Linked DNA regions of Danio rerio. The protein of the gene in region 1 interacts with the protein of each later gene in a pairwise test. Links are inferred from orthologs where the notes say so. Each region holds a gene or a part of one and is shown on either strand. Other genes may lie near its edges. The genes, in order: sufu, glis3 and hdx.

The links.
Region 2: the proteins of sufu (region 1) and glis3 interact in binary tests that used the Homo sapiens proteins (3 or more experiments, as listed by UniProt). The link is inferred for Danio rerio from reciprocal best matches to the Homo sapiens genes SUFU and GLIS3.
Region 3: the proteins of sufu (region 1) and hdx interact in binary tests that used the Homo sapiens proteins (3 or more experiments, as listed by UniProt). The link is inferred for Danio rerio from reciprocal best matches to the Homo sapiens genes SUFU and HDX.

Annotation. Positions count from the first base shown.
Region 1 is NC_133188.1:12,265,049-12,268,710, forward strand, and holds part of sufu (suppressor of fused homolog), read left to right. Parts: intron 1-585; coding exon 586-658; intron 659-3,063; coding exon of another isoform or gene 3,064-3,066; coding exon 3,067-3,220; intron 3,221-3,662. UniProt on the Homo sapiens protein: Negative regulator in the hedgehog/smoothened signaling pathway. Down-regulates GLI1-mediated transactivation of target genes. Down-regulates GLI2-mediated transactivation of target genes. Part of a corepressor complex that acts on DNA-bound GLI1.
Region 2 is NC_133185.1:953,952-957,613, reverse strand, and holds part of glis3 (zinc finger protein GLIS3), read left to right. Parts: intron 1-1,936; coding exon 1,937-2,059; intron 2,060-3,662. UniProt on the Homo sapiens protein: Acts both as a repressor and an activator of transcription. Binds to the consensus sequence 5'-GACCACCCAC-3'.
Region 3 is NC_133189.1:6,749,765-6,753,426, reverse strand, and holds part of hdx (highly divergent homeobox), read left to right. Parts: 5' UTR 1-122; coding exon 123-158; intron 159-1,067; coding exon 1,068-1,214; intron 1,215-3,662.

The DNA.
Region 1 (3,662 bases):
CGCAGACTGCTTTGGACAAGTAAATGATGAATTTTCATTTTTGCGTGAACTATCCCTTTAAGAATTTCCAGTAATCAGCCTGAAGGAGGAAGTGTGTTTCGTCCCAATGCACAGTCAGGAGGAGGGTATGAAAGACCAAAAATATATCCAAAGATTCACAGCTGGAGAATTGCAGAAGTTATTTGGTTGACTCAAGATTGACTATTTGATGTAACCTACATCACCACAAATAATTTGAAATGGCTTTAAGAAAAAGCTTCTGCTTTCATCCAAAACCAACTCAAATGTCTTCATTTTTTATTACTATTTTTTAGCAAAAGATTAAAAGGTTGAACAACACACAGCTTTCTTTGCTTATATTTACAAAGGTTGTTGAATTCAGTCTAGGGCACTGCATTTGTGTCTTACTACATTTATTTTTTCGTGCTGGGGCATTGTGGAAATTGCAGATAAGAGTAGTGGATTTTGAATGCTGTTGCTTTATAGAAGGCACGAGGGAGCTCAAATTGGCTGGGATGCTTTGTGCTGTTCTTATTTTTCATTATTCAGAAATGAAGTTTGATTTCTCTTCTGGTTTGTTTGCAGTGCTGGAGGTCCATGGTTAATCACTGACATGAGAAGAGGAGAATCCATATTTGACATTGATCCACATTTGCAAGTAAGGATTTTTGTAGTGTGCATGGTGCTAAAAGAATAGCTTATTCGCAGATAAAAATACTTATAATGATGTTCCTAAGCTTACAGCCCTATGATTTTCATAGTGCAAAAAATGTTGGTGGAATTCAGTCATAAAAACAGAGTTGGCTGCATAAGAGGCCGTTCACATTTCACATCTAAAACTGCATGGAAAAGGCGAGGCTTCTCGTTTTCTTGCATTTTAATGCGCTTCTGAATCACTTCATAAGCGATTTGTTATTATTATAGTTTATCATTATATTATGTAAAAAAATAAAATAGCCAGCGTCTTTGTTTCTGAATAAAAGTTTGCTTTAACTTAAATGTAAATTGGACAGAGATAGAGCACATTCTACTGGACAAGGGTAATCTATCACCACTACTACTGCTACTTCTACCACTACTACTAATATTAGTAACTTTTTAAGAAAAAAACTAAGCTTTTTCAGTATTACCTTGTTTAAATTTTCTAAAAAATATTTTTATTGAATATTTATTGAAAAACAACAACAACAGCAAAAAACGAATAGAAAACAAATTTAAACTGGAGTGAAAATGCTGGTAAGCATAATGCCAATAAAAGAGAAAACGGTAAACAAAAAATAACTGTGCGCAAGCATTGTTTTACACGTATAACCATGACTGCACATCTGCAGCGCCATCACCCAGCAATATCACTGTCTGTAGGCAGGATAGCAGAGAAGGTAATAAAGTCCTCCAAATAGCAACAATTCCCTCGCTGAATCTACCCAACTGGTTCCAAGAGACACATAAAAATAACTAAGGCAGTGCGGGTGTTTGTTGCTTAAGATTTGCAGCCGTTTTCGGTGATTGGAGATGTGGGCTTTTGTCATTTTATAAAAGCACTCGATCCGTGTTACAGACTACAGTCTCGCATTTTTTCAGCACCGAGATAATTAGGATGGTTTATTTATGTTTACCTAAGAACAAATATGTTTATTTAAAATGACCAATTTATCCTTATTTAATTCACATGTATGTTTATTTTCTAAATGTAGGATTCCCCAGTTTGTACATGGGCTACCAGCAGCTGTGAGATTTCAGTGTTAATTTTTTTATACAATGCACTAGGAACTAGTGTACTTTTCTTGGCTTTTAAGTAAAACAAAATAAGTATTGCAATAAACTGTTTATATTTTTTTCTCCCTTACCTCTTACTGTCCCTATTGCCTATTGAATAATAAAAACACACATGTGTCAAGCCATGAGAACCGAACCAAAAACCGTGTTAAAAAACTGAGGTATGTATTGAACCGTGAGCTAACTGTATTGTTGCACTACTGTGCACTTAATTCTGCTCAAACCATTTAAGTCGCCTCCATTTTCCACGTGAGTGAAATTATTATATGCTTGTATATTCCATATCTATAAATGTATTTGTTTATAAAGGATAATTTATCATTTATAATTACTTGAACTTGCACTCCAGAATCTGATTGATAATCAAGCGCATGTGGTCAGAACACAAACGTGTCGCAGGTATAATGAAGTGTTTAACGTTTCTCCTAATGAAAAAACTGTCTAAGCAAAATGATAGCATGGGTCTGTAGCTCCGTCATTTTTGCCCTTTTTGGTATCCCCACGCCTGGTGGGATGACGCCCGAACAAAATGGCGTTGATTGGCCATGCCCACTTTTAGCTTTGTTTGCGCTCTTCAGAAACCCATGGGTGACGTCACGGATACTACATATTGTTTAGTCTATGGTGTGTATGTCTGCGAGAGAAGCAGGTCAGTGCTGAGCTCAGTAATATTCATGACATGATCCATATATGGTCAGTTATAGACCTTCTGATTCTAGGGCTATTTTATGGATCAAAACATGAGAATAAAATATATATATATTAAATTTACTGACGTCATAAACCTGCTATGTAGATATCAGAGAATAATTTTAACTTATTAAGCTAATGCAGTATTTGCATTCTTTAAGTTAAATATTGGATATTTAATTTGTTTTGCAATTTACACTACTTATGTACTTTAAACAAAGTTTCAAATGTACACTTTAGGGTTGAGAGTATAGCCTGTTTAGATATAGTGCCTCATCCAAGCTAAAATGGTCTTTTCCTTGAAATATTTGCCACCTTTACTCCCTTAACACAGTTTACATCTCTCAAGTAACACACAATTTTAATTCCTGGTGATTTAAAGGTATAGTTCACCCAAAAATGAAAATATACTCACACTGTGCACACTCACACAGTGAAGCTTCAGCATTGAAAAGGTGGATTTGTAATTAAGTCTGGCCTCTTAAACTGGACCCCTCCACCTGCTGTTAGTCCTCTGCTCTATACACTGAGACGGACACATGTCCAGCCACGCTTCTCCCCTGCTGATATGTGCGTGTGTTGATTGCTCATCCAAAGCAGGAACGAGTGGATAAGGGCATCGAGACGGATGGCTCTAACCTGAGTGGGGTGAGTGCCAAGTGTGCTTGGGATGACTTGAGCAGACCTCCCGAGGACGAGGACGACAGCAGGAGCATTTGCATTGGGGCACAGCCACGCAGACTGTCGGACAAAGGTGAGGCATGCTAAGGACAAATGCAATTTAAGAACGGCTCAACAAACCAGCTTGATTAAAATACAGTGTCTCAAGCAGGGATTTTGTTTTTCTGTATCAATATAGATTTATGCACAAACTGAAAATCACAAATACTATTCTTAAAGGGATGTAAAATAGAAAAAATAGACAAAATAGTAAAAAATAGAAAATCCCTCCACTTATTCTACAATATCCATACAATATTGTATATATTCTACTATGCCTGTACAGTTGTTGCTCGTTAATTGCAGGAGTTACATTCTAAAAATAGCCTGCTATAGGTGAAATCCATGAAGTATTCCGCTTTACTCTTCACAATTATTATAGATGTTTTAAAGGAGCAGTAAGGCATCTGCCTAAATGCTAACATTTAGCACAATATCTTTTAAATACAGTCCCTCTCCTGCTGTCCAAAGCTACG
Region 2 (3,662 bases), on another chromosome or scaffold:
CATGCGCTATAGGGGAACTGAATAAGCTAAATTGTCCATAGCGTATGTGTGTGAATGCAAGACTGAATGAGTGTTTCCCAGTTTCAGGTTGTGGCTGGAAGGGCATCCGCTGCTTAAAACATATTCTGAATAAGTTGGCGGTTTATTTCGCTGTGGCGACGATTATTATTATTATTATTATTATTAATTATTTCAGTATTTCAATTGCATATATACAGTAGATGACTACTGAAATATATTCTCTGGCTGTTGAAACATTGCAGCTGTAAAATTAATTAAAATTAATGATTAATTTGAATTAATTAATTAATTAATGTAATTTAAATTAATTAAATTAAGATTAATTAAAACTAATATTAATAAAAATTTTGTTAGCATATGCAATCCTTCTGATAAACGTAACCTTCTATAGAAAAATAGAATTGTTCTGTAAAATGTATGTATATAACAAAAAATACAGTTTATATTTATAAATATGTATATGTATATTTATATATATGTATATGTATATTTTCATAAACTAATTGCTCAACTGAGTTTTTCAAACGCATATGCAATCATCCTGATAAACAAGCTTTTATAGTAAAAATAGAATTATTGTGCAAAATATAATTAGATTTAAAAAATACAGGCTCTGTCATTTATCCTTTGGTTTATCCTTTTTATTTTTACTATTGTTGTTGTTGTTGGCATTATTAATATTATTATATTATTATTTATCAACCTCCTTTATTCCTGTAGTTTGTTCATTACCCCACTGTTATATGCTGATGGTCTGCATCATATTTTCTGTGTTCACATTTAATTCCAAAAATAAAACATTTGATGTAAGAAAGTAAAAAAATACTAATTAATCTGCTTCTCTGAGTTGATTTATACACAACTGCTAAATTTATATAAGCTATTTAAGGCAAGTACGTTATAAGTAAATGGAATTAAATGTGTTAACTAATTAATGAATCCCTTACTTTACTTATTTAGCATTTAATTACATGAATTAGTTCATTTGTAGCTAATTACACTCAGCGCTGCTGATAATCTGCATTTTACAGTTTGGATTAATGATGCATCTGTGTGGCATCCAGCTCTATATACGCTGAAAAAAGATATCAATAATAATATTGCCAGCAGAAATTCATTGGATTTACTCAGTTTGTTTAAGGTAACTGCTTGCAAACTATTGATATGGGCTGAATTTAAACAAACAAATTAAAATTAGCAATGTTCAACTTCATTTGTTTGTAAAATTCAGCCCATATCAGAACCACTTCATTCATTCATTTTCTTTCGGCTTAGTTCCTTATTTATCAGAGGTCGCCACAGTGGAATGAACCACCAACTATTCCAGTGTATGTTTTACACATGAATGCCCTTTCAGCTGAAACCCAGTACTGGGAAACACCCATAAATACTCATTCACACACACACACACACTCATACACTACGGCCAATTTAGTTTAGTGCATGTGTTTGGACTGTGGGGGAAACCGGACCACCCGGAGGAAACCCACGCTAGCATGGGGAGAACATGCAAACTCCACACAGAAACACCAACTGACCCAGCTGGGACTCGAACCAGCAACCTTCCCGCTGTGAGGCCACAGTGCTAACCACTGCGCCACCCTTTGCCACCACTTATACGCTTTTTCAGTGTATATCTCCACACAAGCCATATGCACTGATTATGCATATTTAGGAGTGTAAGCGGAGAACAAACCGATCGGCGCTGAATGATTCACACACTCGTACAGCAACAGATTGCGGTTCTGCAAAAATAGATCCGTTTAATCTCATCATGCAGACCGCAGAAAGTTTCCCCGAGTTCAGATGTCAGTGTGAGGAAGGGGAGTCTGACATTACCGGATTACAGCAGGATTACAGGCTGCGCTGTGAATAATCTGATCATGTTTGTATTTGTTGCGTTAACTCTGCTCAGGTTTCTCGGCTGTGTTTTCATACGCCGACTCAGACAAACACATCTCCTCCTGCTCCGTCATGCAGACGCCCATGTTTGAGGACAATCTCAGCTCGTCGCCTCAGATCCACAGCAACATCTCCGGTAAACACACACACACACACACTAATACTGGGACAATCAGGCTGTGTGATGTTGTGTTGTCTTTGTGTGCCACACAGTTGAAGTCAGAATATTTCCTAAATGATGTTGAACAGATTGAGGAATTGTTCACAGTATGTCTGATAATATTTGTTCTTCTGGAGAAAGTCTGATTTGTTTTATTTGGTCTAGAATAAAAGCAGTTTCACATTTTTAAACACCATTTTAAGGTCAATATTATTCGCCCCTTTCAGCAATATTAGTGTTGGATTGTCTCCAGAACAAACCACTGTTATACAATGACTTACCTAATTACCCTAACTTTACCCTAATTACCCTAGTGAAGCCTTTACATGTCACTTTAAGCTGAACACTAGTGTCTTGAAGAACATCTAGTCTAATATTACGTGCTGTCATCATGGAGAAGAGAAAATAAATCAGTTATTAGAGATGAGTTATTAACACTGTTATGATTAGAAATGTGTTGAAAAATTCTTCTCTCCCTTAAACAGAAATAAAAAGGTGCGTTAATAAATCAGGGGGTTAACAATTCTGACTTCAACTGCATATATATATATATATATATATATATATATATATATATATATATATATATATATATATATATATAATACATATTATATAGTTTTAATTTTAAATTTTATATTTAAAATAAATGTAAATAAAATTAAAGATTTTTTTATAAAATTCTGATAATAGAATTAAAATAATTTCCGGCTCATTCTGGAAACGTAGTCCCGCAAACGTTTCTGGGGACCGAGAAATACATCCTGGAAGGTACGTATTTGTGCAGACTTTGTTTTCGCGAATGCGCGTGAGGCCTCTGTGTACGCTTTTTTGCATCTCGAACGCCTCTGTGCTCGCATAAAGCCGCTGGAGGGCGCTGTCGAGTGACTGTCTGTCCGACTGACTGAAGGATTGACTGGGGGACCGGCCAATTGGCCAACCCACCCCCTCCTCCTCCTTCCCTAAACCTAACCGGTTTTACCGATTGACCCGCCTGGCCGCCCGCTTCCTTCCCTAAACCCAAGCAATGATTTACAAAAGCCGTCCAGAAAAAGAAAAGCCCTCGTCTGATTTTGACCCTGTTTTCCGATCTCACCACATTCTCACGCTGTTGTTCACTCAGTCGTTTTATTTTTTGGATTCTGTTTTTGTCTTACCTGATTTCCGGAACCGATCTTTCCCGGGCTCAAACCCTGGTCGTGGCGGACAGCTCCCCTCCGGATCTCCACTCCGCCGTCTTACACAACGAGTTAACCAGACAAACTGGTTGCGGCAGGAAAGTCCTCCACATGGAGGTGAGCAGTCAGCCAGCGAGCGCGAAGAGGAGCGGCGTCACACCGCCCTGTAGCATTCGCTTAAAATAAATGAAATGCAGCCATACGTACATCCAGCTACGTAAATCGCGGTTTCCGGAAACGTCCGCGGGACTACGTTTTCAGAATGAGCTTGGGTGGAAAATAACACAAAGCACAACAAATGTATAATATTTCTATTTTTAATATATAATTTTTTATTTGTTAATAAATCAAGGTTTAAATGAGCATTTCATGCAAACATTTTAGAGAACATGTCAGACAGG
Region 3 (3,662 bases), on another chromosome or scaffold:
TCTCCTAAAAGCAGATGGCTGAATGCTGGTGTGAATAGATTTACACCCAGCAGTGCGTCTCTGCTGCATGTTCAGATTAATCAACCTGATTCCTGGGGTCTCTCAGCACATCCATCAGAGGGATGGAAAAATGGCTGGAAAAGAGGAGCATTCACACTGTGAGTATGCCTACAAGCTCATATGCACTAAAAACTCAGCGATTCACATTAATATAATAATGTACAATTAATATAATGATGTACAATGCTATAATAGATGTAACCAAACAAATTCATGTTAATGTGATAAACAGCATTGTGTCAAACACAAGTTCATAAAAATGCATGTGAAGATCCATATTAAAAGAACAAAAGTGTCAAAATATGAAAATAAATTAATGTATTCTAGTATATAGTTTAGCCCAAAATGAAAATGTTCAGTTAAAGGTGCAGTAGGTGATCTTTCACAATGCTAAAAGCTTAGCATAAATCTCTGAATCACAGTCCCTCCCCTGCCGTCTAGAGCCACACCTCCTAGCAAAGCAAAAGAACCCTCTCTCATGTGTTAAAAGCGACTAGTGCTTGTCCGGCGTTGAGCAAGCCAAACTGACATGCTATGTCAGAGTGAATATTTAGAGTTGCATGGTAAACAATATAGGGAGAGACTAGGCGGAATAGCGCTATTTACTTGTGTTTTGTTGGTAAACTAATTAAAATCTACATTATAGATGCTGTAAAAGGTCCCTTATGAAACTGAAAATAGTCTTATCAATCTTTCATCGGAAGATTTTAGTGGCTGAACAACACTTCTTTGAAGATATATCCCGTTTGTAACAACAACATCTAACGTTACATCAGCTTTGCATGAAGCTAAAATAGTTTTAAAACAAAACATTACCTGTCTAAGAGAAATCCTTAGAAACTCTGTAATGATAGTTATTATCATCTGCTTGTGTAGCAGTTATCCCATCATGAAAAGCTCAAATATGGGCTTCTTTAACTTTAAGATGTGTTTTGAGAATGACTTTTGTTAATACAGTAGGCTGTTATTGATGTTCTTGTTCATTTAACATCCTTTTCATCTTACAGATGAACTTGCGGTCTGTATTTACTGCCGAGCAACAGCGGATCCTGGAACGCTATTATGAGAACGGCATGACCAATCAGAGCAAGAGCTGCTTCCAGCTCATCCTGCAGTGTGCTCAAGAGACCAAACTTGACTTCAGCGTGGTTCGAGTAAGCATGAGTTTCCTTTTGTTCATTTATAAATAATTGCAGCTTTTTTTTTCCATTTAGTGGTCTAGCATTATGTACATTTCCACAATTGATATCAATACATAAACAACTATTACATAAGTTAATTAAATATCTATTAAAAGTTGAAAAGTTAATAAGTTTTTTAAAGTTAAAAGAAATGGCACAATGTCATCAGTTTGTTAGTAGAAAGTTTGTTACAAATACGAAATGTCTCTTCTGGTTTGTGGTGATTGTATATGGATTGGTATCATGACAGCATGACTAGCTCAATGCTAGCAACCTGTTAATTAGGTGAACATAACAGGGCATTTTTAGCATGACATTAAATGTTTTAGCTAATGTTACTAGCATGTTTTAACGTGGCTAGCTTATGCTAACATACTTCATCTAATATGTAGCATGTTAAAGTACATAGTTGATTGTTAGCTAGTTATTGCCAGTCAAAAGCCCTAAACCCCATGTCTCTATGATGCTCTGAAGCAGAGATATTGATGTTGCGCAACTCACATTTTATCCAGAAAAGTACATAGTTATTAATTAGGAGTATTAGGAGTAGTTATTAATATTATTGCATGCATATTTGAATCTGGTGCTTTTATAGGTAGTTTAAACAAACAGTGGAGTCTTTTTATTTTTAAATAGCTTATTACAGATATGACAGTGAAAGTTGTTTAATGTAAGACATTGCAATATAAGATCAACATTTTATTACATTTTAAGAAAATTGATTACATTATGAACATTTCATTACAATAGTAATGTAATAATTATCACATTATTTAGAGTTATTACATTACATGACATTATTACATCACTTGGCATACATGTGCAGTTTTAATTGATTATGAGGACACAACAGTGTAGTGTTATGGCTTTGTGCGCTCGTCTTTATTTAGTGAAATCATTCCAGTTCAATATAAAATAATCACATAAATCAATTTGACAATTTCTGTTTCTCACACGCAAACTAAAGACATCTTAGAACTATAACTAAGAATGTTATGTTTAATGCATTTTTACAATGTTTATAGACTTTTTTATTTCGACAGATGCAATATGCATATGCAAACCGCAGGGTAGAGATCCGCGCGAGACAATTTTGAATCACGCTCCTGCCAGGTTTTAGGCCGAACCTGACCGCTCCCGCTTATATTCAGCTTTTGTTGTCCACTGCCCGACCCGCCCCGTTTTCTACCCGCCGCGCCTGATCCGGCTAAAGAGCGGGGGGGAGAACAAAACCGAAAACCACCCAGCAATACAGAGTCCAGACAGCCTATAACAAGCTGTCTGTATAAACACACACACACACACACACACACACAAGCACCAAGCACACACACAGACAAAGCTCTCTCTCTCTCTCATTCACGCCCACACACACTCACAAAGCTATAAACAAGCTAAACACAGCATCGCGCTGTCTCATTCACACACATACATATGCGTGCTCGCTCGCTCAGGAATCGGAAGCGATATTGCTAGATGGCCCGGTCCAGTCCCAAGTTAAACCCGTTACCGACCGCTCCCACGATTTATTCAGAAATTTAAAATGCAGACCTCTACCGTGGGGGCGTCCTGTATGACACTGGTAAAGTCTTAAAGAGATGTTTGGTCACCATTGACTTTCACTTCCAGTTGATGGCCAACTACTATGGAATTCACTCCACTATAGAATGTATGGAATTCAATAGTATTCAATAGTAATCCCCAACATAGGCTCATTCTGAATACGTACTCCTATATTATAGGAAGAATATAAGAATATATATAAGAATATATAGACCTTATTCTTCAATGCAAAAGTGCACTCTTTTGCGATTAAGAACTTTCGATTCAGTTCCCTATGGTAGAAATGAGTAGTAAACGGCAGAAAATGGTCAAACTACGTGCTCTACAAACAAGTGCGTCCATGACTGAACAGACAATATAGAATAATAAAATAAGAAAATATCAGTTTGCAACATCAAGCAGCAAAACAAGCCAATTTTGACGTCTAAAAATAAATGAATTAGACCGGAAGTCTCGAGCCAAAAAGATTCAAATGGCTGCGCCCAGTCGTATGCGGAGAATAGTGTAAATACATTTCTGGAGATCGCAAATTATATAGCCAGAGGTACAATTTGTCTTTAAAACGAATGCTATGTGGTGATAGGATGCAGTTCCTTGTGGCGCTTACCAGCTGACGGCTTACCTCCATATGGACAGCTTTTTCGCTATTACCAGTTTTTGCATACGTCGGCAGACTTGTGACGTGGAGCAAAGTTGACTGACGACGGGGTACGAGTCCGGCAGCAGGTAAGATAAAAACAAAAGCCAAAAAATAAAATAAACAAGTAAATAACAGGGTGAGAATCTGTTAAATTCTAAAACGTGGCTGCCGCGAATGCTTTTCTATTTCTTGATTGCTTATTAAAACAATATCAGTTA